Saccharomyces cerevisiae S288C: one gene and its partner. The protein of the gene in region 2 interacts with the protein of the main gene of each other region in a biochemical or structural test. Each region holds a gene or a part of one and is shown on either strand. Other genes may lie near its edges.

Region 1 (16,562 bases), on a different chromosome or scaffold from region 2:
GCAAGGTATCATAAGCAATGGTTCTCCTAATATCGACTCGAACACCAATGTAACCATTGCTGTCCCAGATCCCAATAATAACAACGGGAAACAGCTCCAAGGGAAAAACTCTTTAACCAACACTTCAATACTGTCGAGGGCTAGGTCTTCCTTACAACGTCAAAGACTTGCTCAGCAACAGCAACAACAACAAGATCCTAGATCTCCATTAGTAATACTGGTCCCTACAGCTGCGCAACCAACAGATATTCTTGCAGCGAGGTTTTCAGCTTGGAGAAATGTCATCAAGTCGGTGATCGTTTACTTAACAGAAATCGCTTCTATTCAGGATGAAATTGTTAGACAGCAACTAAGATTATCACATGCTGTACAATTCCCATTCTTTTCGATCGAGAATCAATACCAACCAAGCTCGCAGGAGGATAAATCAGTACAAAAGTTTTTTTTGCCATTGGGTAATGGCTCGATACAGGACTTACCAACAATTTTGAACCAGTATCATGAATCCCTAGCATCCAGCGCGTCTAAGGCATCAAGGGAATTGACCAATGATGTTATTCCTCGTTTGGAAGACTTGAGGAGAGATCTAATAGTCAAGATAAAGGAAATAAAATCACTGCAGTCGGATTTCAAAAATTCTTGTTCCAAAGAGTTACAACAAACAAAACAGGCCATGAAGCAATTTCAGGAGTCTTTAAAGGATGCGCGCTATTCAGTGCCAAAACAAGATCCATTCTTAACCAAGCTGGCGCTTGATAGACAAATTAAAAAGCAACTTCAGGAGGAAAACTTTCTGCATGAAGCTTTTGATAATTTAGAGACTTCAGGCGCTGAATTAGAAAAAATTGTAGTTATGGAAATTCAAAACTCTTTAACAATATATGCCAGATTACTGGGACAAGAAGCACAATTGGTTTTCGATATATTGATATCCAAATTAGATTCTGGATTTTTCAACGTTGACCCACAATTTGAATGGGATAACTTCATTTCAAGGGATCCCAACTTTTTATTGCCTAATCTACCGATGAGGACATTCAAAGAAATCGTTTACAAATACCAATTCGATCCTTTGACTTATGAAATCAAATCAGGGTTTTTAGAAAGAAGATCAAAATTTCTAAAATCCTATTCAAAAGGGTATTATGTGCTGACACCGAACTTTTTACATGAATTCAAGACCGCGGACAGAAAAAAAGATTTAGTACCAGTGATGTCGTTAGCATTAAGTGAATGTACTGTGACGGAACATTCCCGGAAAAACAGTACATCATCACCAAATTCGACTGGTTCGGATGCTAAGTTTGTGTTGCATGCTAAGCAAAACGGCATAATTCGTCGTGGTCACAATTGGGTTTTTAAAGCCGATTCTTATGAATCAATGATGTCTTGGTTTGATAATTTGAAGATCTTAACATCTACTTCGAATATACAAGACAAGTATAAATTCATAACACAAAAATTAAACTTGAATTCAGATGGGAAACCCAAGCTAACCAATAACCATACCAGCATTAATAAGTATCAGCTGAGTAATGCCAATAGCACAATGGTAGAAAATGATGAAAACGATGATATAAATAGTAATTATGTGGGGTCCACGGTAACACCAAAATTGGACAATCAAACAAATACGAATACATCCATGTCTTCATTACCTGATACTAATGATTCTGAATTACAAGATCAAGTTCCCAATATTTATATTCAAACTCCAATAAACGATTTCAAATCATAAATACAAGTATAGTAAACTAGAATGTTTTTATTTCCTTCCATCCATATGTTATATTAATATGTTTCCGTATTTTTGTTTTTGTGTCCCATGCATGGAAGAATACAACCTACAAGCAGACTTATATAAATATACAATACTACCTATCCCTCAACTCCATCACTAATTCTAACAGCGGACCAAAATCAGCCGGTCTTAGTAGTTCGAACTCTTGTGCAAAAAGACAAAAATGTCTAAAACTTGTGTTTAGTACGGTTTGTAAATTTAGTTCAAGAATTTCATTAAAATGATGACAGTAAATATGCGCATAAACTCTGAATAATCGCCTTAGAATTGGTTGAATTACTCGTTGGATGAATCCCTCCGGGAAGGTACCGGTGACTTTGGAAGGAAAAAGAGATTCGTCATCAAATTGGTCTTGACACCACCTCATCAAACATTCCACATACTTAGGGGCACTTACCGAAACGGGGGGCTGACCCTTTTGAAATGCCCAAAGATATTCATATTCGTTCGTCGCTATCATCCTCGGGCATGTTTGTGGGGAGCAAAATTCTGTGATGGACCCGTATAACATATTAATCTGATTGTAAAAATCCACGCAATGAACCGCTAGCCATTCATTCTCATCCTCACCACGCGGTAACTTCACAGCTTGGTTAAGGACTCCCTCAGACCCCAGTGTCATCTCCACAATTTGCTTGATGTCTTGATGTGTTGTAACTGTCGTACCTGCTTGCGGTTGTAGAAACGGCTTCTGATGCGATGGTGTATAGTTAAAGTCCGTTACATTTTGTAATTGTTCAGGCGGAGGGGCGTGCCTCTTTGGCGTAGTGAGGACGGGAGACATCCTTCCATGGTCGCTTTCATTATATCCGTTTACTGGATTGTTTGTAAAATCTGCTCTATTGTTAATAGTATTGGCATTATTATTATTGCCGTTAATAGTATTGTTATGGGGAGTTGCCTTAGTAGGCGATACAGAGCCTGCATTATTAGCTGCATTGGCAGTATTCCACTTGAAACCTCTAGTAGATCTTATTGTTTGGCCGGGACTTATATGACTGCTTTCAAAAGGTAACTCATACCCAGTTTGTTAATAAAAGATGAACAATAATACTTGAAGTAGAAAAGAAAATAGCAACATACAAATTTTGTAGAAAAGACATGGAAATTGAAGTCCTTATTGAATTAGGAAAATTTTGTTGAAGATACTAACAAAAAAACCGGTTTTCTCTCGAATAAACTAAAAAAATATCTATACAGCTCAAACGGGCTGAGCTAAGGCTCTTTTAGATCAGTAATGTTACCAAAGCTATAATTGTAATTCTTCTAACGTTTTGATATTTCCATTTTGGGAAGTAGTATTACCCTTCTTTTGATCGAACGTATTTGTCATATTATACGAGTGGGATACCCGACCGATAATAATAATCACGTTTATATCACGTGATCATCTCTGAATACCAAAATCACAACATACGGAAATTAGGGGACATAAGATTTTTTGAGGAGAGATTTCTTTTCCTATTTATTTTTAATCGCGCCATTACTGACAATAGCAAATTAATTTATAGTGGAGTACATGGACTATTTATTATAGATTTTGTTGGCATATTCTTTTTTTAACAATAAAAGGTATACATATATATATATAGACAAACTCAAGTATTCAGTTACGGGTAAATCAAGTGAAATAAATTTCGCCTTTTAGTATCTATTTGTGTACTTTTGTGCCATAAGCTAAAAGAGTAAAAATAATAACAAGAGGCGTAGAAGAAGGGTTTATTCAAGGGAACAAAGGCAAGAGGAATAAAAGCTCATGTTCAAACCAGTAGACTTCTCTGAAACATCTCCTGTGCCGCCTGATATTGATCTTGCTCCTACACAATCTCCACACCATGTGGCACCTAGTCAAGACTCCAGTTATGATCTTTTATCCCGGAGTTCCGATGATAAAATTGATGCTGAAAAGGGTCCGCATGATGAATTATCTAAGCACTTACCACTTTTTCAGAAAAGACCTTTGAGCGATACTCCTATATCGAGCAATTGGAACTCTCCTGGAATCACTGAAGAAAATACACCTTCTGACTCTCCTGAAAATAGCGCTACTAATTTGAAATCGCTACATCGATTGCATATTAACGACGAAACGCAACTAAAAAATGCTAAAATTCCCACAAACGATACTACTGACTACATGCCTCCTTCAGATGGAGCAAATGAGGTAACTCGGATTGATTTGAAAGACATTAAATCACCTACGAGACACCATAAAAGAAGACCTACCACCATCGATGTTCCTGGTTTAACAAAGTCTAAAACATCTCCAGATGGTCTCATATCAAAGGAAGATAGTGGATCAAAGTTAGTGATTGTCATGGTCGGACTGCCAGCTACGGGAAAGTCATTTATTACAAATAAATTATCCAGATTTTTAAATTATTCTTTATACTATTGTAAAGTGTTTAATGTCGGTAACACTAGAAGGAAGTTTGCTAAGGAGCATGGCCTAAAGGACCAGGATTCAAAGTTTTTCGAGCCGAAAAACGCCGACTCTACTAGGTTGAGAGACAAATGGGCCATGGATACTCTGGATGAATTGCTAGATTATTTATTAGAAGGTTCAGGATCTGTGGGAATTTTTGATGCTACAAATACCTCTCGTGAAAGAAGAAAAAACGTTCTGGCTAGAATCAGAAAGAGAAGTCCTCATTTGAAGGTTTTATTTTTAGAATCTGTTTGTTCGGATCATGCACTGGTACAGAAAAATATTAGACTCAAATTATTTGGTCCAGATTACAAAGGTAAAGATCCTGAAAGCTCTTTAAAAGATTTTAAAAGTCGCCTGGCAAACTACTTGAAAGCCTATGAACCAATTGAGGATGACGAAAATTTGCAGTACATCAAAATGATAGATGTGGGAAAGAAAGTCATCGCATACAATATTCAAGGGTTTTTAGCTTCGCAGACGGTATATTATTTGTTAAATTTCAATTTGGCTGACAGACAAATTTGGATAACGAGAAGTGGCGAGAGCGAAGATAATGTTAGTGGCCGTATAGGCGGAAATTCCCATTTGACTCCTCGTGGTCTAAGATTTGCTAAAAGTCTACCAAAATTCATTGCCAGACAGAGAGAAATATTTTATCAAAATCTCATGCAACAAAAAAAGAATAATGAAAATACAGATGGGAACATTTATAATGACTTTTTCGTTTGGACCAGCATGCGTGCTAGGACTATAGGGACTGCTCAATATTTCAACGAAGATGATTATCCTATCAAACAAATGAAAATGTTAGATGAGTTAAGTGCAGGTGATTATGATGGTATGACATATCCAGAAATTAAAAACAACTTTCCTGAAGAATTCGAAAAAAGACAGAAAGATAAGTTGAGATACAGATACCCTGGTATTGGCGGTGAATCGTATATGGACGTTATTAATAGACTCAGACCTGTTATCACAGAACTAGAAAGAATCGAGGATAACGTTCTTATTATTACACACCGGGTGGTGGCAAGAGCCTTATTGGGTTATTTTATGAACTTGAGTATGGGTATTATTGCCAATTTGGATGTCCCATTACATTGTGTATATTGCCTAGAACCAAAACCATATGGAATCACTTGGTCATTATGGGAGTATGATGAAGCATCGGATTCATTTTCTAAGGTCCCACAAACGGACTTGAATACCACCAGAGTAAAGGAGGTTGGCCTTGTTTATAATGAAAGAAGATATTCTGTTATACCAACAGCTCCGCCAAGTGCAAGAAGCAGCTTTGCAAGTGACTTTTTGTCAAGAAAAAGATCTAATCCTACTTCTGCATCTTCATCCCAGAGTGAATTATCAGAACAACCCAAGAATAGCGTTAGTGCTCAAACTGGCAGCAATAATACCACTCTCATTGGGAGCAACTTTAACATCAAGAATGAAAATGGTGATTCGAGAATACCATTATCTGCACCACTTATGGCCACTAATACTTCTAATAACATCTTAGATGGTGGAGGTACCTCAATTTCGATACATCGTCCCAGGGTTGTTCCAAATCAAAACAACGTGAATCCTCTTTTGGCTAACAACAATAAAGCGGCTTCTAATGTACCTAATGTAAAGAAGTCAGCGGCTACACCAAGGCAAATTTTTGAAATAGATAAAGTGGACGAAAAGTTATCCATGTTGAAAAATAAAAGTTTTCTATTACATGGAAAGGATTATCCTAATAATGCTGATAATAATGACAACGAAGATATAAGGGCAAAAACCATGAATCGCAGCCAAAGTCACGTTTAAAATAATATGAAAAAAAAAAAAAAAAAAAAAAATCAGAAATATTTTATGAATTATTCAAATAGACTAATGAAGTGATAAAACCAACCTTTTTTTTTCTTCTTTAAGGTATATTGTTCGACGCAATCATGAAGTGTTGCGGTTTTTTGTTTATATTTTTCTATAACTGTTTTCCTTTTTCCCAAAGAATTATGCAAATGAAGAATATCTACGTATATATGGAAAATAATTTAATAGATATATTTTGATATGACTAAGTTATGAAATAGAAAAAAATAAGAAAAAAAAAACCTTGACTAATTACTATAAAGCTCCGTAAATAATTCCGAAGGCGTCGACCCATTGACCGACTCTGCCAGTCACACCTAGGATATATTGGCCATTAGGTGGCTGCAATTCAGCGAACCCACCTCCGTCTTTGTTACCAAACATGTCGGTCATTCTCCCATGACTCGTTATAATTTGGATAGCATCAACCCAAGCTCCGCACCTCAGATTAAACCCAATGATTATTTCACCCGGTTCTAGTGTAGCATCCGTAAAATTTTGTGTTTCATGTCCAAAGAGTACACTTTTTAGATTTTCTTCGTTTATTGAAGCATGATTTTTGATACTATGTGTAATTTTTGAGAAATAATTTCTTGGTGGTACAGAGGGCTTGGATGCGGGAGCATCCTTTGTTCCAGTTGGTTTTTCCTTGTAATAAAACCTCACACCATCTAATGCATAGCCATGGTATATTCTCACAGCAGTGACTAATCTAACATCAAAAGCGACGACGCCGACAGCATTACCACCGTCGCTGCGACCATAAAGTGGTGATTTGATACCTTGAACATTTTTAGAAAACCCATATTTCGACATGTCTAATGGCTGAACATCTAACAAAGATGGGAACTTGTCGAACTCGGTTTCCGGTGCATTAACAGAAAGAATTTTCAATTTGAAGGTATTGCCAAACTTGGCGAGTTCATTCTTGGGCAACCTGGCACGTAAATCATCTAATGTTACTATAACTTCCCGTTGAGGCCCCTGTCCACCTAGGGAAACCGGCAAGTATTCAATATGGCCCCTGGCCAAATCATCACATATAATTTCAATCAAATAGATTCCTGTGGGCGATAATATGCGGCAACTGCCGTTACCCAAAGGATATACAGAGTGTTTTATATTGGGGTATCCGCCCAATTTTGTAGGTCTCATGAACGATGGATCGTAATAATCCTGTGGTAAAGTGAAAGAGGGGTGGTACAAAAATCTTACCGTATCGAGACGGTTCCAGGTACATTCTTCCTTGGGGAAGATGGGAGGACTAGCACCAGTTGAATTAGTTCTTACAGAATAAGCCTCTTTAGTCAAGAAAGACCTATTCAAAGTGGTATAGCCTCTTAGCATAACACCGCTTTCCTGATGAGGACAACCCAGTAAGTGACCAATCTCATGCATAAATGCTCCCAACGTGATAGTCAAACATTCCCAGTAAGTACCACACTCATTACAGTCGTTGGCGACTTCACTGGTGGAGGATCTTGTCTCATCAGTAAAATAAGGCACCAATTGCTCGAGACAAGTAGGCCATGAGTAAAGCCCGTGCGACCCAAAAATGGCGAGCTTAATGCTGTCGTCACCCCCACCCAATGCGGCGTGGCCTCTAATCAACTTACCATCCCAGTGGGTGTCTAGAAACATACAAGCTGCCTGAACAGGCTTTTCGTTATTGGTGAAGGGTCCGCCGTAACTTTTAAGGGCGTCCATGGCTATCCCAAAAAGGGCGCCGGTGTTTTTCCCTTTGGAATTCTGTTGAGCTATGTCAGGGTCCTGGATTTCCTTCACCGTCTTTTCCGAACGAACTACATGTATTTTGATGGTGTTTCTCATAGCAGGCCGTTCGAACAGCGTGTCCCAGGTAAATTCTTCAACAAAGGGAAACGTCCTATTTCCCATACTGTTTCTCAGCATTTGCTCGTTCGTGTACGCTTGCATGAGTCTGGCCCCAAGTCTTAGCTTCTTGATTGCCAATTCGAGGCCATTCCCGCCCTCTCTGTCCTTCTGTTCTCGAGGAGAGTCAAACTGTAAAGGCGAATCCTTGGCCAAGATCAGACACAGGTGTACGGGAGGGTTCTGCGTCAGTGGTGTGTAGTAACATACGATTGTCCTAGCGGTGTTAGTGTCTGTAACAAAGGTCAACTTGTTCTCACCAGGAGTCAATATCACAGTGGCCTTGAAGAACTGATTATGTATGGGGTAAGTAATTGGAGGCAATTGTGGATGCTGCACTTGAACGGTCTTCGCACCATTTTGCTTATTGCATTTTCCGTGCACGATAAGACAAGGAGAAACGATTTGCTCGTTCTCTCTCAGGTTGAATAGATCAATATCCTTCGAGCCTACCATTTATTTCTTTCTCTTCGAACTACTACTTCCTTTTTTTTTTTTTACTGTATACGATCTAATAATAAGAAGAAAGAAGAACTCCTTTTAAATTTCCTTTTTCTCTCTATTTTCCGGCGACCGCTACTCTTAAACGTCCAAACCAAAAAAAGATCGAGAGAATTGACTGCGCCAAGACACATGAACTTCTGAAACCTAAGAAAGCCTGACTGTTCCTAAGGTGATCTATATTTATATACAACATCATGCTCTTAAAAGAATAGGTTACGTAATTAATTGATGGAAAATTTCAGCAAATTTCCGCCTAGAATGCCGGGTAACAAAAAAGTAATTAGTGCTATGTTTGGGTGATAGAATCGTGTCACAAATATACATAGCACTGACAAGTGTGCATTTTGCACTAACCACTGCTATAAGTTTTTCAGCTTAATGCAGTCTATTCAGGCACTATCTGGGCTTGAAAAACAGTCTTGGACATGGCCACTGGAGCAGATTTGTTAACGCTTAGCTGTTCTCTTTTTTTTTTTCTTGTTTTTTCCATTTACGGCAGAAGAAAATGAAAACTGGAAGAACGAAAACGAAGAAAAACAAAACTATGTAAGGAGGATGGTACATCAGGAAACAGGCCAAAAATAGCACTACAAAAAGGTTTTATCTGGCACTCAGGTCCATTTTTGCCGCATTGAAACAGACATAAATATATAAGTCTGAGACCATCTGCAAAATGTCTCATCACAAGAAACGTGTTTACCCACAAGCTCAGCTCCAGTATGGACAAAATGCCACCCCTCTACAACAGCCAGCACAATTCATGCCTCCGCAGGATCCTGCTGCAGCTGGAATGAGCTATGGTCAGATGGGAATGCCGCCACAGGGTGCAGTCCCTTCCATGGGGCAGCAACAATTCCTAACCCCTGCTCAAGAACAGTTACACCAGCAAATTGATCAGGCCACCACTTCCATGAACGATATGCATCTGCACAACGTACCGCTAGTCGATCCTAACGCTTATATGCAGCCACAGGTTCCCGTGCAAATGGGCACACCTTTGCAGCAACAGCAACAACCAATGGCAGCGCCTGCGTATGGCCAACCTAGCGCCGCAATGGGCCAAAACATGAGGCCCATGAACCAGTTGTATCCAATCGATCTGTTGACGGAATTGCCTCCTCCAATTACCGATCTGACCTTGCCTCCCCCACCGTTGGTTATTCCTCCAGAAAGGATGTTAGTTCCTTCTGAATTGTCCAATGCGTCTCCAGATTATATCAGGTCGACCTTGAACGCCGTTCCTAAGAACAGCTCCCTGCTGAAGAAGTCTAAACTTCCATTTGGGCTTGTTATCAGACCATACCAACACTTGTACGACGATATCGACCCGCCTCCATTGAATGAAGATGGACTTATTGTCCGTTGTCGTCGTTGTCGTTCTTACATGAACCCTTTTGTCACTTTTATCGAGCAAGGCAGAAGATGGAGATGTAACTTTTGTCGTCTGGCCAATGACGTTCCTATGCAAATGGACCAGAGCGATCCAAACGACCCAAAGAGTAGATACGACAGAAATGAAATCAAATGTGCTGTGATGGAATATATGGCCCCAAAGGAATATACTCTAAGACAACCACCTCCAGCCACTTACTGTTTCCTGATCGATGTCTCCCAGTCCTCTATCAAGAGTGGGTTACTGGCCACTACCATCAACACCCTTTTGCAAAATCTTGATTCCATTCCAAACCATGATGAAAGAACCAGAATTTCCATCTTATGTGTAGACAACGCCATTCACTACTTTAAAATCCCATTGGATTCTGAAAACAATGAAGAGTCCGCCGATCAAATCAACATGATGGATATTGCCGACCTGGAAGAGCCTTTCTTGCCCAGACCAAACTCTATGGTTGTGTCCTTAAAGGCCTGCAGACAAAACATTGAAACTTTATTGACCAAGATTCCTCAAATCTTCCAATCTAATTTAATCACAAATTTCGCACTGGGCCCCGCTTTGAAATCCGCTTATCATTTAATTGGTGGCGTTGGTGGTAAAATAATTGTTGTGTCAGGTACTTTGCCCAACTTAGGCATAGGAAAATTACAAAGGAGAAATGAAAGTGGTGTTGTTAATACATCCAAGGAAACTGCACAACTACTTTCCTGTCAAGACTCATTTTATAAGAATTTCACCATCGATTGTTCTAAAGTACAGATTACTGTCGATTTATTTTTGGCTTCTGAAGATTATATGGACGTTGCATCACTATCGAATTTGAGTCGTTTCACTGCTGGTCAAACGCATTTCTATCCTGGTTTTTCAGGCAAGAACCCAAATGATATTGTCAAATTTTCCACTGAGTTTGCCAAGCACATTTCCATGGATTTCTGTATGGAAACCGTAATGAGAGCCCGTGGTTCCACAGGTTTGAGAATGAGTAGATTCTATGGTCACTTCTTCAATAGATCATCTGATTTATGTGCATTTTCCACCATGCCAAGAGATCAATCATACTTATTCGAAGTTAACGTTGATGAATCCATTATGGCTGACTATTGTTATGTTCAAGTAGCGGTACTTTTATCTCTGAATAATAGTCAACGTAGAATAAGAATTATAACATTGGCTATGCCAACCACGGAATCGTTGGCAGAAGTCTACGCATCTGCTGACCAATTAGCTATAGCGTCGTTTTACAACTCGAAGGCGGTGGAGAAAGCATTGAATTCCAGTTTGGACGATGCAAGAGTATTGATCAACAAATCCGTGCAAGATATCTTAGCCACGTACAAGAAGGAAATAGTGGTGTCCAACACTGCAGGGGGGGCCCCATTGAGGTTATGTGCCAATTTGAGAATGTTCCCATTGTTAATGCATTCTTTAACTAAGCATATGGCATTTAGATCTGGTATTGTCCCAAGTGACCATCGCGCCTCGGCCTTGAACAACTTAGAATCATTACCTTTGAAATATCTAATCAAAAACATCTACCCTGATGTTTATTCGCTGCATGATATGGCTGATGAGGCTGGGTTACCAGTGCAAACTGAAGATGGTGAAGCTACTGGCACAATTGTTTTGCCTCAACCAATCAATGCTACCTCTTCGTTGTTTGAAAGATACGGTCTATACTTGATAGATAATGGTAACGAATTGTTTTTGTGGATGGGTGGTGACGCTGTACCAGCGCTAGTATTCGATGTGTTTGGAACACAGGATATCTTTGACATTCCAATTGGCAAACAGGAAATACCTGTTGTTGAAAATTCTGAATTCAATCAAAGAGTAAGAAACATTATCAACCAATTGAGAAACCATGATGATGTCATCACTTACCAATCATTGTATATTGTTAGGGGTGCCTCTTTGAGCGAGCCCGTTAACCATGCATCTGCTAGGGAAGTTGCAACGCTAAGACTATGGGCTTCTAGCACCTTAGTGGAGGATAAGATTTTGAATAACGAAAGTTACAGAGAATTCTTACAAATCATGAAAGCCAGAATTAGCAAATAAGGCTAAAAGGGAATCAATGATAAAAAGAAACTGTATATTTTTGTTGGTTGCATTTTTGCTTTCCAATTATATTATGTATATTGAACAGTTACTTTAATTTTTACTTCTATATTTCTTTTCTATTTTCATCCATGTTATAAATAAAAGATACAGTAAAAGACTTATGGATTAACTTAAGGAAATGAAGTTGAAACAAATTATACTAACTATCGGATAGCTTTATTTGTTTCAATGCATATAATCGACCTTTTTAAGCCAGAGTTAACTTTAAACCTTTCAGAATGAATTGGTAGATGTTCGGAGTTTATTTTGTCGTCCAAATAAGCTTCAAATTCAGTGATGCTACCACCGACTCCAAAATAAATATCCTTTGCGGCTACGTAAGTTTTGACATCGGTTTGTGGTAAATTGTGTATGTCAAGTATTGTTTCCGCTATAACGGGCAAATTGTCAGGTTGATAAATTGTTTCTGAGGATAATGAAAGGACTTTTTGGCTACCTGAGAGTACTTCATGGATCAAATTACTAAATTTACGTCCCCACGATCCTGATATAAGAGTGACGCTGATATTCCTGCTTTGTACATCGTCGTAAAAGGCAGCTAACAGCTTTGAGGTAAGAAGCAGTTCCTCATTATTTATTGGAATATCTTCACATTCGTCTTTCTGTAAGGCGTACCATTGTTCCTTTGTCAAAACCGTTTTAGCCCATGTTATAACCAAATTCGGTATGGTAACTAATCTTAATACACTGGCATTATAGTCAGTCAAAACAAACTTTAAACCTTTACTTCTATCATTCCGTAGAAGAGCAGATCTGAAAAGAAACTCTGAGGGTAGTGCCGTACCACAGCCTATTTCGACAACCGCGTCGATATCGTTGCTTATTCTATCAACGTTCTCTGACAACAAATCAACTAAATCATAAGAGCACTCCCATGATTTCAACCCACCTTCATAGATGTTCTTTCTCAAATCTTCAGAAGTATCACCTAGTAAAATGTCCAGTTCCGTGGAGTTGTTGTTGGATTGGGCATCTGTCTCTAACATTAGCTGATGTTTGACATCGAATAGTTCCCTCTTGATCAATGGTTTTCTATATATCGGAGATTGGAACTCTTCAAATGTCAATCTAACATCCTTAAGACTTTCCAATATTGTTCCTAGGTCTTCCACATTTGGCTGCACAACTCCAGCTTGCGACAAGAAATCCGAATCTAATGGATTGATGTAAGCAGTGGTATTTTCGTTTTCTTTGCTGCTTTCAACGAATGTTTCAGGTTGAGCAACAAGCTCATCATCATCAAAGTCATTGGAAGTAAAGCCGAAGGAAAATGACATATTTTAGCTACACAACACTTCGGTTCTGATTGTCCTTTTCCTCCCCATAGAATCGATGACTTGAACATTTTTATTTTTTAGATTGGACTTTTTTTTTTTCCAATTTTCCATGATTATTTTTTTTCTTCTTCGAAGTAACAATGAATGATATTTGCAGAAGAAGGTACAAGGAACTAAGTAATCAACCTACTGAACTAAGACCAAATGCGTATATATGAAAACAATCTACTTATACCCCAAACACGGAATATACGAAACAATTTTATTTTCCTCGTCTACTTATTTAGATTGAACTTGAGAATAACCTCCCCAAGGATTGGCATTTTTTGACTTCAGATACTCGTCTGATTTCAACTGCCATTCCCTGTTCATAGTCTTTGGAGTTTCAGGATTGGCTAATAGTCTCACTAAACCAAAGAGCCCAAATGAGATTCCTAACCCTAAAAATACTCCTTTAGTTATAAATGCAACATCGCCTTTTCCGTGTACAGGTCTTCTAGGTCCCCACTCGCCGTAGGATATGTACCAAGCTGCTTTGATTTCCTCGTTATTGAGAGTTTTCCATGGAAGCTTTTGACGTTCTGTCAAATTATCTGCAATCTCTTTCTGTTCTAAGTTTGGCATATTTTCCCATCTTTCGGGCAGATCTGTCAATGTTGCCTTCGAAAGGGCCTTTGTTTGAACAAATCTTGTCCCAGTTAGCCGTGCCCCTTTAGTAAGAGAAGTACGCAACACTGCAAAACTTGTGCTTGTACACCTCGAATGTTAGTAAATGGATATCTTTTAAAACTCAAAACAAAAATCAGTGTTTGTTATACATGCTCTTTACAATGAATATGTGGCGTTATTCCATTGTGAAAGTTTCCTGCAAAGAATATTAAATTGAAATAATTGGTCTATTGTTTAATGCAACAGTCATTTATAAAATATAAATCAAATGAAATTCGTCTTTTTTCGTCTTTTGCACGGTATTTTCTGAACCCCTCAGTAATTTTAAGGGGTCCATGACATTTTTTCGAGTACTCGTTCGTTGCCTTATCGAACAATACAAAATCAAAAAAAGAAATTGGTGAGTGTCATGCCGATATAATAATGACAAAACAGTACGATTATATGGAATTATGTTAACATGAATAGTATTTAATGAATCGAAAATGCAACTATGTATGAGCATATGCCAACGGACCGATGAATTGTTTTACCAAAATGGTTCTTTGGATGTCTGCTGGAGGACGGAGGATATGCTCATACGGTGTTGAAATTTAACCGGTAACTCTCGAGGTATTTTTAGAGAACGCTGTTTGCGCGTCGGCTGCTGCGCTTTGTTCAGCTTATCGTTTCTCCATCGTGCAAATTCGTTTATTGATATTTGAATCATATTTCCTTCAATTTCTTTTCTTTTTGCGTGGTTTTCAATAACAACGTTATCCCATTTAATCCACGCCATGGGCAAACTAACAAATTTTTTGTACTCCAAAAGCTCATACCCAATCTTTGTGTCCAAATCAACCCCATCAAAGTTTACAACATATCTTTTATTTTCCATGTTGTTCTTTTTATCATCATAACTACCTCCATACAGGAAAATGAATTTCAACATATTCCACAATGGAGTCAGGTGCGAGGGATCGACGGGAATCTTCTCAGAAGTTGGTTGGTTGTCCTTTGAGAGCAAGTCGATATCCTTCAACAATATCATTACTTGCAAGTCGAGCACAAATTTATCGTTTTTTTCGTCTACAAAATAATATAGCGGCAAAAATCTTTTGTAATCAAGTTTATCGTTGAAGTTAATAATCTTCAGTCCTAACGGATATAAGTCCCTTACTGCCCTTCTATAAGAGATTTCTTCCATTTCTTTTTCCCTTTCCATTTTTCTTGCTTTCTCTAAAGTAGCTTTTTCCAATCTTTCCATTTCTAAGACTTTCTGCTTCTCCTGTTCTTCGATCCTTTTTTTCTCATCTTCGGCCAGCTTTTGTAGTAGTTCCTGTTCTTTTTTTCTTTTCTTTTCTAATCTTTTCTTTCTGTATTCTTCCTCTTCCTTGAGTCTTGCTTCTCTTTCAGCAGCCGTTTCTTCATGTATTTTACTTATCTCTACAGATTTTGCCTTCTTTGGAGAATGAGGTTCCATAGAGAGTGGTGAGATACTTTTTAATTTTTCTTCATCTTGCAAGGCATTTGTTTTACGTTTTTTCCAGTCCAATGAGTATTGAGTACCAACATTTTCATTGTCATCCAATCTCTTGCGCGAATCCGAAGTTGTAGATTCCTTGACATCACGATCGTTATTAAAGTCATCGTCTGCCAGATTGAGCATCCTCGTATCGTCCTCTTCGTCTTCAATTCTAGGAGTGGCACTTCTTCGGCTTGCTAATATGGGTGATTGCGTTTTCTCTCTCTTTTTTTCATGTTTATATGTTTCATTATTATTATCATCATCATCATCATCATCATTATTATCTTCAGAGTGCTTCTTCAAATAGTTATTTATAGCATTTTCAATCAATTGAATTTCTTCACTGTTTGTTATTCCCATTATGCTGTTTTTGGCATAGTACAAAGCGGTACGACCCTTTTTATCTCTTTTGGTTGGATCTGCACCTGCCTCTAATAGCAGTTTAACAGTTCCAAGATGGCCACGACCTACAGCTACCATTAAAGCGGATGTTTTATTATCCCTTGAAGTTTGATTTACGGGAAATCCGAATGCCAAAAAGATACTTGTAATATCTTCATGGCCACACTTAACGCTTTCGAAAAATGACCTTAAGTCTATCTTACCACCATTTTCTACATACGTACCAACGTATGGTAAATGTCCCTCCTTCGAAGCTTTAAACAGTTTTTCTTTTCCCGCTCTAGAAGTAACATCTGTCCAATAGAATTCCTCTTCCGGAGCTTTCTCATCAATATTGGAAGCCATTGAAGGTGAGTCAGCGGCCTTTTCGTTTTTGGCTTTTGTGGTATTATCAAAAGGTGGCTGATCTATTGTGTGAGCATTATTGCCATTTTTAGATTTGTCATTATGAATTCCTGCTCTGTTAGTCCATTTTTTAGCGGCTATACTCAACCTTTTTTTTATTTCACGCAAAATCTTTTGGTCTTCTTCATCATCAAATTCAGATTCATCATCGACAGATTCAAACGCAGTTAACCCTTTAGCGTTACGTATAGTTGGGTCCGCACCGTTTTTAAGAAGATACTTGACAACATCCAAGTGTCCATTGGCGGAAGCATCGATCAAGGGAGTATCGCCGAACATTTCAATAGACTTGATATTTACATCTG
Region 2 (8,205 bases):
TTAATAACCTTATCTGACCATCTGATTGGATGGCCTCGATATTCTTATCGCAGAACCAATGCGCCGGAACCGGCCCATGCATTTTCAGTGCGGTGGGGCAATAAAAAAGAAATAGTACGACCCCACGTCCAATCAGCAGAGAGAAGCTGTTATCAGCTGCTGCGCCGTTTTCTTTTTCATCAGGTACCATAATGAAAATCAGCACTGAAAAATTGCGGAAGAAGAAAGCGTAAGAAGTAGCAGCAAAGGCCGGCTTCTTGTTAAAGCAAAGTATACGTAATCTAAGTAAGAGAAGATTGGAAAATTTTCTGTTTTTCATATATAAAATATACGAGAGTTACAAATGCGTTTACCCATTTTATATTCTCTCACTCTTTAAATGACTTTTCTTATAGCATTGAAAGTTGCTTGATACGTACTATCGCATTATTCTAATATAACAGTTAGGAGACCAAAAAGAAAAAGAAATGTCAGAGCCAGAATTTCAACAAGCTTACGAAGAAGTTGTCTCCTCTTTGGAAGACTCTACTCTTTTCGAACAACACCCAGAATACAGAAAGGTTTTGCCAATTGTTTCTGTTCCAGAAAGAATCATACAATTCAGAGTCACCTGGGAAAATGACAAGGGTGAACAAGAAGTTGCTCAAGGTTACAGAGTGCAATATAACTCCGCCAAGGGTCCATACAAGGGTGGTCTACGTTTCCATCCTTCCGTGAACTTGTCTATCTTGAAATTCTTGGGTTTCGAACAAATCTTCAAGAACTCCTTGACCGGCCTAGACATGGGTGGTGGTAAAGGTGGTCTATGTGTGGACTTGAAGGGAAGATCTAATAACGAAATCAGAAGAATCTGTTATGCTTTCATGAGAGAATTGAGCAGACACATTGGTCAAGACACTGACGTGCCAGCTGGTGATATCGGTGTTGGTGGTCGTGAAATTGGTTACCTGTTCGGTGCTTACAGATCATACAAGAACTCCTGGGAAGGTGTCTTAACCGGTAAGGGTTTGAACTGGGGTGGTTCTTTGATCAGACCAGAAGCCACTGGTTACGGTTTAGTTTACTATACTCAAGCTATGATCGACTATGCCACAAACGGTAAGGAATCTTTCGAAGGTAAGCGCGTCACCATCTCTGGTAGTGGTAACGTTGCTCAATACGCTGCCTTGAAGGTTATTGAGCTAGGTGGTACTGTCGTTTCCCTATCTGACTCCAAGGGTTGTATCATCTCTGAAACTGGTATCACCTCCGAACAAGTCGCTGATATTTCCAGTGCTAAGGTCAACTTCAAGTCCTTGGAACAAATCGTCAACGAATACTCTACTTTCTCCGAAAACAAAGTGCAATACATTGCTGGTGCTCGTCCATGGACCCACGTCCAAAAGGTCGACATTGCTTTGCCATGTGCCACCCAAAATGAAGTCAGCGGTGAAGAAGCCAAGGCCTTGGTTGCTCAAGGTGTCAAGTTTATTGCCGAAGGTTCCAACATGGGTTCCACTCCAGAAGCTATTGCCGTCTTTGAAACTGCTCGTTCCACCGCCACTGGACCAAGCGAAGCTGTTTGGTACGGTCCACCAAAGGCTGCTAACTTGGGTGGTGTTGCTGTTTCTGGTTTAGAAATGGCACAAAACTCTCAAAGAATCACATGGACTAGCGAAAGAGTTGACCAAGAGTTGAAGAGAATTATGATCAACTGTTTCAATGAATGTATCGACTATGCCAAGAAGTACACTAAGGACGGTAAGGTCTTGCCATCTTTGGTCAAAGGTGCTAATATCGCAAGTTTCATCAAGGTCTCTGATGCTATGTTTGACCAAGGTGATGTATTTTAAATAGTCTAAAAGAAAGAAAAGAGGAAAGTTCATAAAAAGTTCTTTCTTTTTTTTAAATAACTTAGATAGATAATGAGATAAAAGAAGTAAAAAAACGGAATCGTAACGCAATTAATTAATTAAGAAAATTGATTATCGGGAGAAAAAAATTTTATTTTTTATTTTATTTTCTTTAAAGTACATATATTTGAAATGATGACATGTGGAAATATAACAGAGACAGAATATTTAATTTTATGTATGTAAGCATCGATTGGACACCAGGCTTATTGATGACCTTACTCGTCCAATTTGGCACGGACCGCTTTAACTTGCAAGTAGTTTTGTAAAGCATCAACAGACATTTCCCTGCCCAAACCAGATGCATTGAACCCACCGAAAGGAACTGCGTGGTGGAAATCGTTATAAGTGTTTATCCAGACCGTACCCGCATTAACTCTATCAGCCACTTTTAAGGCGGTATTAATATTAGAGGTGTGAATACCAGCAGCCAACCCGTATTCAGAATCGTTCGCCATGTTAATGACTTCGTCGGCAGATTTGAATTTGGTTACAGTGACAACAGGGCCAAAGATTTCCTCTTTGACAATTCTCATGTCTTCCTTAACGTCACCAAAGACAGTTGGCTTAATGAAGTAACCCTTGCTACCTAATCTTTCACCACCGGTAATCAAAGTAGCACCTTCATTCTTACCAATGTCAACGTATTTCAAGATTTTGTTTAGTTGCATTTGAGAGGTTTGTGCACCTTGGAAAGTAGATTCATCGAATGGGTCGCCCACCTTGATGGATTCAGAAGCGGCTTTGAACTCTTCAATGAATTTGTCGTAAATAGATTCTTCAACATACACCCTTGAACCCGCACAACAGACCTCACCAGAATTGTAGTAGATACCAAGGATAATGTTTTGCACGGCTTTTTTCAACTCGGCGTCCGCGAAGACAATGTTTGGTGATTTACCACCCAGCTCCAAAGTCACTTTTTTCAAGCCTGCGGCTGCGGACTGGTAAATGTGTCTACCCGTAGCCGTGGACCCTGTGAAGGCAACCTTTTTGATTTTTGGATGGTTTGTAATGGCCTCACCCACAATCTTACCAAACCCGGATACAATGTTGATCACACCAGGTGGAATACCCGCCTGTGGGATGTATTTAGACACATACAAAGCGGACAATGGGGTGGATTCGGCAGTCTTCAACACGACGGTGTTACCGGTGACCAAAGCAGGGGCAATCTTCCAGGCCCACATCAACAGTGGGAAATTCCAAGGAATAATCTGCCCACAAACACCCAAAGGCTGTCTCTTAGTGTAAGAAAAATGGGTTCTACCAGTATCAATCATTCTACCATCAATTTTATCAGCAAAGCCAGCAGAAGATTTCAAATAGTTGATGACTAAATCAACATCTCCTCTCGAGGAAGAGATAGCTTTACCGTTATCCAAAGTCTCGATGGAAGCAATGACATCCTTGTCCTGTTCAATTAATTCGGCTAACCTGTACAAAGCCTTACCCCTGTCAATAGGGTCGATACCGTTCCAAGACCCATTAGAGAAGGCACGGTCGGCGGCCTGCACGGCCTCTTCCACATCGTCCTCTCTACCTTCATAAATATGACATATTTCTTCTTCCGTGGAAGGGTTAATGACTTCGAAGGTCTTGTTCTGTTTAGAAGGAACAAACTTGTTGTTGATGAACAACCCCGTTGGTTGCTCATATTCCAACCCATTGGGCAGCTTGATAGGCACTGTCATAGGAAGGTGTGAGAAATATCTCAATTGAAGTCTCCCAATGGAGGATGCAGACGTCTTTAAGCAGAGCGTAGATCTACTGAACATGCTTTATTTATTTTTGTTATTGTAGTTTTCTTGGTTGGTTTTCCAGATACTTCTAATCCTAACACCCAAGAATTTTTGAGGAAAGGAGAGTGAAGTCAATTGTCACCGACAAACCCCCCCCATTTATATAACCGCCGAACTTCCATTTTCATTACAAATTTCTCCTCATTCTGCTTACCTACACCCGCCCCTCATTTTCCATCTCTGTTGGAGTTGGAGAAAAAGATACCTGTGGACGGAAGTCCCGCATCGCTGGATAACAGCCGTACCGTCGCCCGGGCGGGGAATCATACCAGCAAACAAAAATGAGGGGGAAATGACATCATGTGCGGACGGTACTAAAGGATCAAAAGAATGAATGAATGAATTGTTACACAAAACGGTGAAATTGTTACATACATTTACTAATTACATACATTTTTAGTACTGCGTACGGGTATAGTTATGGGGTTACAGATTCGTGGCAGTTGGGGCAGGAGTGTCATCTAACCAGAGGGTCGCCAGGGCGGGACATTGCTGCTGGCAGAGGCCAGCAAGCTGGAGCAACTGCCGGTAATGCAAGCTCGTGCTGGCGCGATCGTGGCGTGGTGTCGTGATTGGGTTATTTCGTAGATCAAGAAATTTTACTGATTGGCGTGGGAGAGTTTTTGTTAACTTGTGTGCGTTTTGTAGGTTGTTGCCTGGCAGATGTAGCTCTTGCAAGAACGGTAGTTCCTTGGAGAGGTCCACTGGTAAGTGTGTGAAGTCTCTAACATTAGCTATAGTTAGAGAATATAAGTTGGTGGATTTTAGAGAAGAGAATCGCGGCAAAGAGGAGGCCAGGCCGCCGTTGATCTCCAGAATTTGCAAAGTGGCAGGCCATTTTTGCCATTTGCTAAGTTGAGCGAAGCCGTCCAGTTTTAGAATCTTTAGATTTTGGTAGGGGAACGTGAATTGATCATCCAACTTGTAATTTTGTAATTTGGATAGCGCGCCTCCTGTATTTTTGATGGAAAGCGCTCTCAACGTTCCGTTCTCCATCTTAGAAGATTCCACGATGGAAACTAGCGGGTTACCATTGAGGTTTAAAACCTTCAGGCGGGGCAAGCAATTGATGTTTCTTACGCCAATTATGTTATTGTTGCTTAGATCTAAGACTTCCACGGTCAACCAGCCGCCCACGACAGAGTTGTTTGTTAGTATCAATTGTTCGAAATCGATGATACCATTAATCTCGTTGTTAGAAAGGTTCAGTTTTTTCATCCTGGAGGATCCTATCCCTTCTAAGGATTGGATGGAGTTGTAAGAAAGGTTCACCTCTTGCAGGTGATGACAAAGTGACAAAAATTTTAAACTTGTATTCAAGAGGTTGTACGATAAGTCGAGGCATTCCAGATCGTGGAATCCGGCTAATGAACAATGTGCGCTCGTTATTTTGTTGTTTGAACAAAATAGCTGTACAACGTTCGAGGGTATACCTTCTAGAGTGTTCATTTCATTGTCACTAAGGTTTAGCACTAATACATTCGGTAGTAGTCTTTGCATGCCAAACATATTCTTCAGTTTGCCCCTTGATAGGTCAACTTTCAGGATTTTTTCCCAATCGGAATCATAGCTTGGAGAACCAGATAGTTTACTAGTCAAGATTGATATTAGCTGCTTTTCAGTTTCGTTGAACGAGGTGTTTACTTCGGAAATGGACGTAATATCTTCAACCCGTTCAGCGGGGAAGGTCTTTAGTTTCTTGTGAGCTTCTAGTAGATTGGAATTAGAGATTGAACGAGAGGTACGCATTTGTCCTTTAACCTTCGCTCTAGTGCCATTTTTCGTAAAAAGGTCATTAAATTTTGGTGTGTCTAGGGGCGTGTCATCGCTATTTGCTAGATTTTCTTCTTCTTGTATTTTCTTTTGGCGGTAGCCAACATCACCTGGTTTGGTACTGGTTAATTCATACGCCTTCTTATCTAGAATTGAAGGTGCCTTACCGTTAGTGTGATTATCTCCAGTTGGTACCATTGTGGCGAACTGGGACTGGTTGGAAGATGTATTGTCCAGAGAATGTGAACTCGACACATCTAAGCCCTGGTTCAGCGGCGGATCCCATGCGCCGTGTGTATGGTTAAACTGATATCCCAATTGACCGGGTGAAATAGTGTTCAATGGAGGTTTCTTGAGAACTTTTGATTTTCTGCCTGATTGAGTTTGAGAGGACGACATGGATGACGATGATGAAAATTCAAAAGAATTGGAAGTGTCCTCTTCGTCCTCCTCCTTCGTTCTAGCGTTATCCTTATTATTAATATTAATACTATTATTATTATTATTATTATTATTATTATTATTGTTTTTGTTGTTGCTATTACTTGGATAAGAACCCACCAAATAATTCGATTTTTGCTTTTGTAATATGCCATCAAATACATCATGTGCCTCAGCTGCTGGGCCAGAATCGCTGTCATCAGAAAACGACGATGAGACCTTCTCAGCGTTAAAGAAATCTTTAGAATGTGAAATACTAATCGTATCATGGTTTTCATGGGTCTGCATAGTAGTAGTTTTATTCTTCATATCTAAATGTCTTTTAAATGTATTTGTTTCAAGAACTCCAGATAAATCCTTAACCAAGTCGCTCACAATGAGATCCGATTCAGGAACTTTGTTTGCAGTACCAACAGCGCCACCAAAGTTGGTACCACCGCCGCTACCAATACCAGGGAAATACTGCTTCCATTGAGCTTCTTGATGAGATGTAGCAGTCGTGCCTGAAAAACCTGACGGCACTTTCTGATGCACCGTGCTATAGTTGTTCAAAACTGTCATTGTAGGAGGTTTTTTGACAGAATCGGATATTGCAGGTTCCACAACTTGGGAAGTAAAATTTGAATCTTGAAAATCGTGGTTACTTTCATATTCCTTAAACACTTTACCACTGTTACTGTGCGCGTTCGAGCGTAGCTTTCGTGGTGAATTTATTGTAAGATTCTCCAGCTGGCTCGATAGTTCTGCCTCCTGCGTATCCATATCCATTTCGGTATGCTTTTACTATTCAACCTAGTCGGCAATTTTTTCACCTGAATATTGTTGAACACTTCTGGCATCCTAGATACTCATCTGTATTTATTCATTATCTGTTGTGCATCGTTAATAGCATTCCAGTAAACAAGTTTAGGTCACTACCCGCATAAGCCTTTTGGCGTTTGGCGTAACCCTCCTCGCGAAAAGAAACGGGACGCAAAAAAAAAAAACAACAAAACAAGAACAAAACAAAACAAATAGGACAGAGCCTTAAGGAGCTGCAAGGATCTTCTGAATATTTGGCATCGGCATTGTGGGTGGAAAAAGTGTCCAAATTGGAATAAATTGGTCAGAATAGAGCATTGATTCCAACTATGGACAGAGATATAAGCTACCAGCAAAATTATACCTCAACTGGGGCAACTGCAACTTCCTCAAGACAGCCCTCTACGGACAATAATGCAGATACAAATTTTTTGAAGGTAATGTCAGAATTCAAATATAATTTTAACAGTCCGTTACCTACAACGACTCAATTCCCCACGCCCTATTCTTCTAATCAGTATCAACAGACTCAAGATCATTTTGCCAATACAGACGCTCACAACAGTTCGAGCAACGAATCGTCGTTGGTAGAGAACAGTATATTACCGCATCATCAGCAGATACAACAGCAACAACAACAACAACAACAACAACAACAACAACAGCAAGCTCTAGGTTCACTTGTACCTCCTGCTGTCACAAGGACAGATACAAGTGAGACTTTGGACGATATCAACGTTCAACCTTCTTCTGTTTTGCAGTTCGGCAACTCTTTACCCAGCGAATTTTTGGTTGCATCCCCAGAGCAATTCAAAGAATTTTTGTTGGACTCTCCGTCCACCAATTTCAATTTCTTTCACAAAACTCCGGCAAAGACACCACTTCGATTTGTAACAGATTCTAACGGTGCTCAGCAAAGCACCACAGAGAACCCAGGTCAACAACAGAATGTTTTTAGCAATGTCGATTTGAACAATCTTTTGAAGAGTAATGGAAAAACACCCTCATCTTCATGCACCGGCGCATTTTCACGCACTCCTCTGAGTAAGATTGACATGAATCTCATGTTCAATCAACCGCTGCCGACATCTCCATCAAAAAGGTTCTCCTCCCTGTCGTTGACACCATATGGAAGAAAAATTCTGAATGACGTCGGTACACCTTATGCAAAAGCATTGATATCGTCTAACAGCGCGTTAGTGGATTTTCAGAAGGCAAGAAAGGATATTACCACTAATGCAACATCCATAGGGCTGGAAAATGCCAACAACATCTTACAGAGAACGCCGCTAAGATCTAACAATAAAAAATTATTTATTAAAACCCCCCAGGATACCATCAATAGCACTAGCACACTAACTAAGGACAACGAAAATAAACAGGACATATACGGCTCTTCACCGACTACCATCCAATTAAATTCATCAATAACTAAATCTATCTCCAAATTGGATAACTCTAGAATTCCCTTGTTAGCTTCGAGATCAGATAACATT

The links.
Region 1: the proteins of NUD1 (region 2) and MOB1 form a complex in vitro, tested with the Saccharomyces cerevisiae proteins (one study listed by BioGRID).

What each region holds. Positions count from the first base shown.
Region 1 is NC_001141.2:152,757-169,318, reverse strand, and holds MOB1 (Mob1p), read right to left. Parts: upstream 2,905-16,562; coding exon 2,885-2,904; intron 2,800-2,884; coding exon 1,875-2,799; downstream 1-1,874. Other genes in the region: YIL105W-A (uncharacterized protein), read right to left, coding at 1,515-1,655; SLM1 (phosphatidylinositol 4,5-bisphosphate-binding protein), read left to right, coding at 1-1,738; PFK26 (6-phosphofructo-2-kinase), read left to right, coding at 3,558-6,041; YIL108W (putative metalloendopeptidase), read right to left, coding at 6,342-8,432; COPII subunit SEC24, read left to right, coding at 9,154-11,934; HPM1 (protein-histidine N-methyltransferase), read right to left, coding at 12,141-13,274; COX5B (cytochrome c oxidase subunit Vb), read right to left, coding at 13,554-14,008, 14,097-14,097; HOS4 (Hos4p), read right to left, coding at 14,473-16,562. UniProt on the Saccharomyces cerevisiae protein: Functions as an activator subunit for the DBF2 protein kinase. Binds to DBF2, which is required for the phosphorylation and activation of DBF2 by the upstream kinase CDC15 in late anaphase.
Region 2 is NC_001147.6:1,035,305-1,043,509, reverse strand, and holds NUD1 (Nud1p), read right to left. Parts: upstream 6,677-8,205; coding exon 4,121-6,676; downstream 1-4,120. Other genes in the region: YOR376W (uncharacterized protein), read right to left, coding at 1-319; glutamate dehydrogenase (NADP(+)) GDH1, read left to right, coding at 468-1,832; aldehyde dehydrogenase (NADP(+)) ALD4, read right to left, coding at 2,111-3,670; NDD1 (Ndd1p), read left to right, coding at 7,039-8,205. UniProt on the Saccharomyces cerevisiae protein: Involved in astral microtubule organization by binding SCP72 to the outer plaque in a cell-cycle dependent manner. Required for the mitotic exit by facilitating the binding of TEMP1 to CDC15.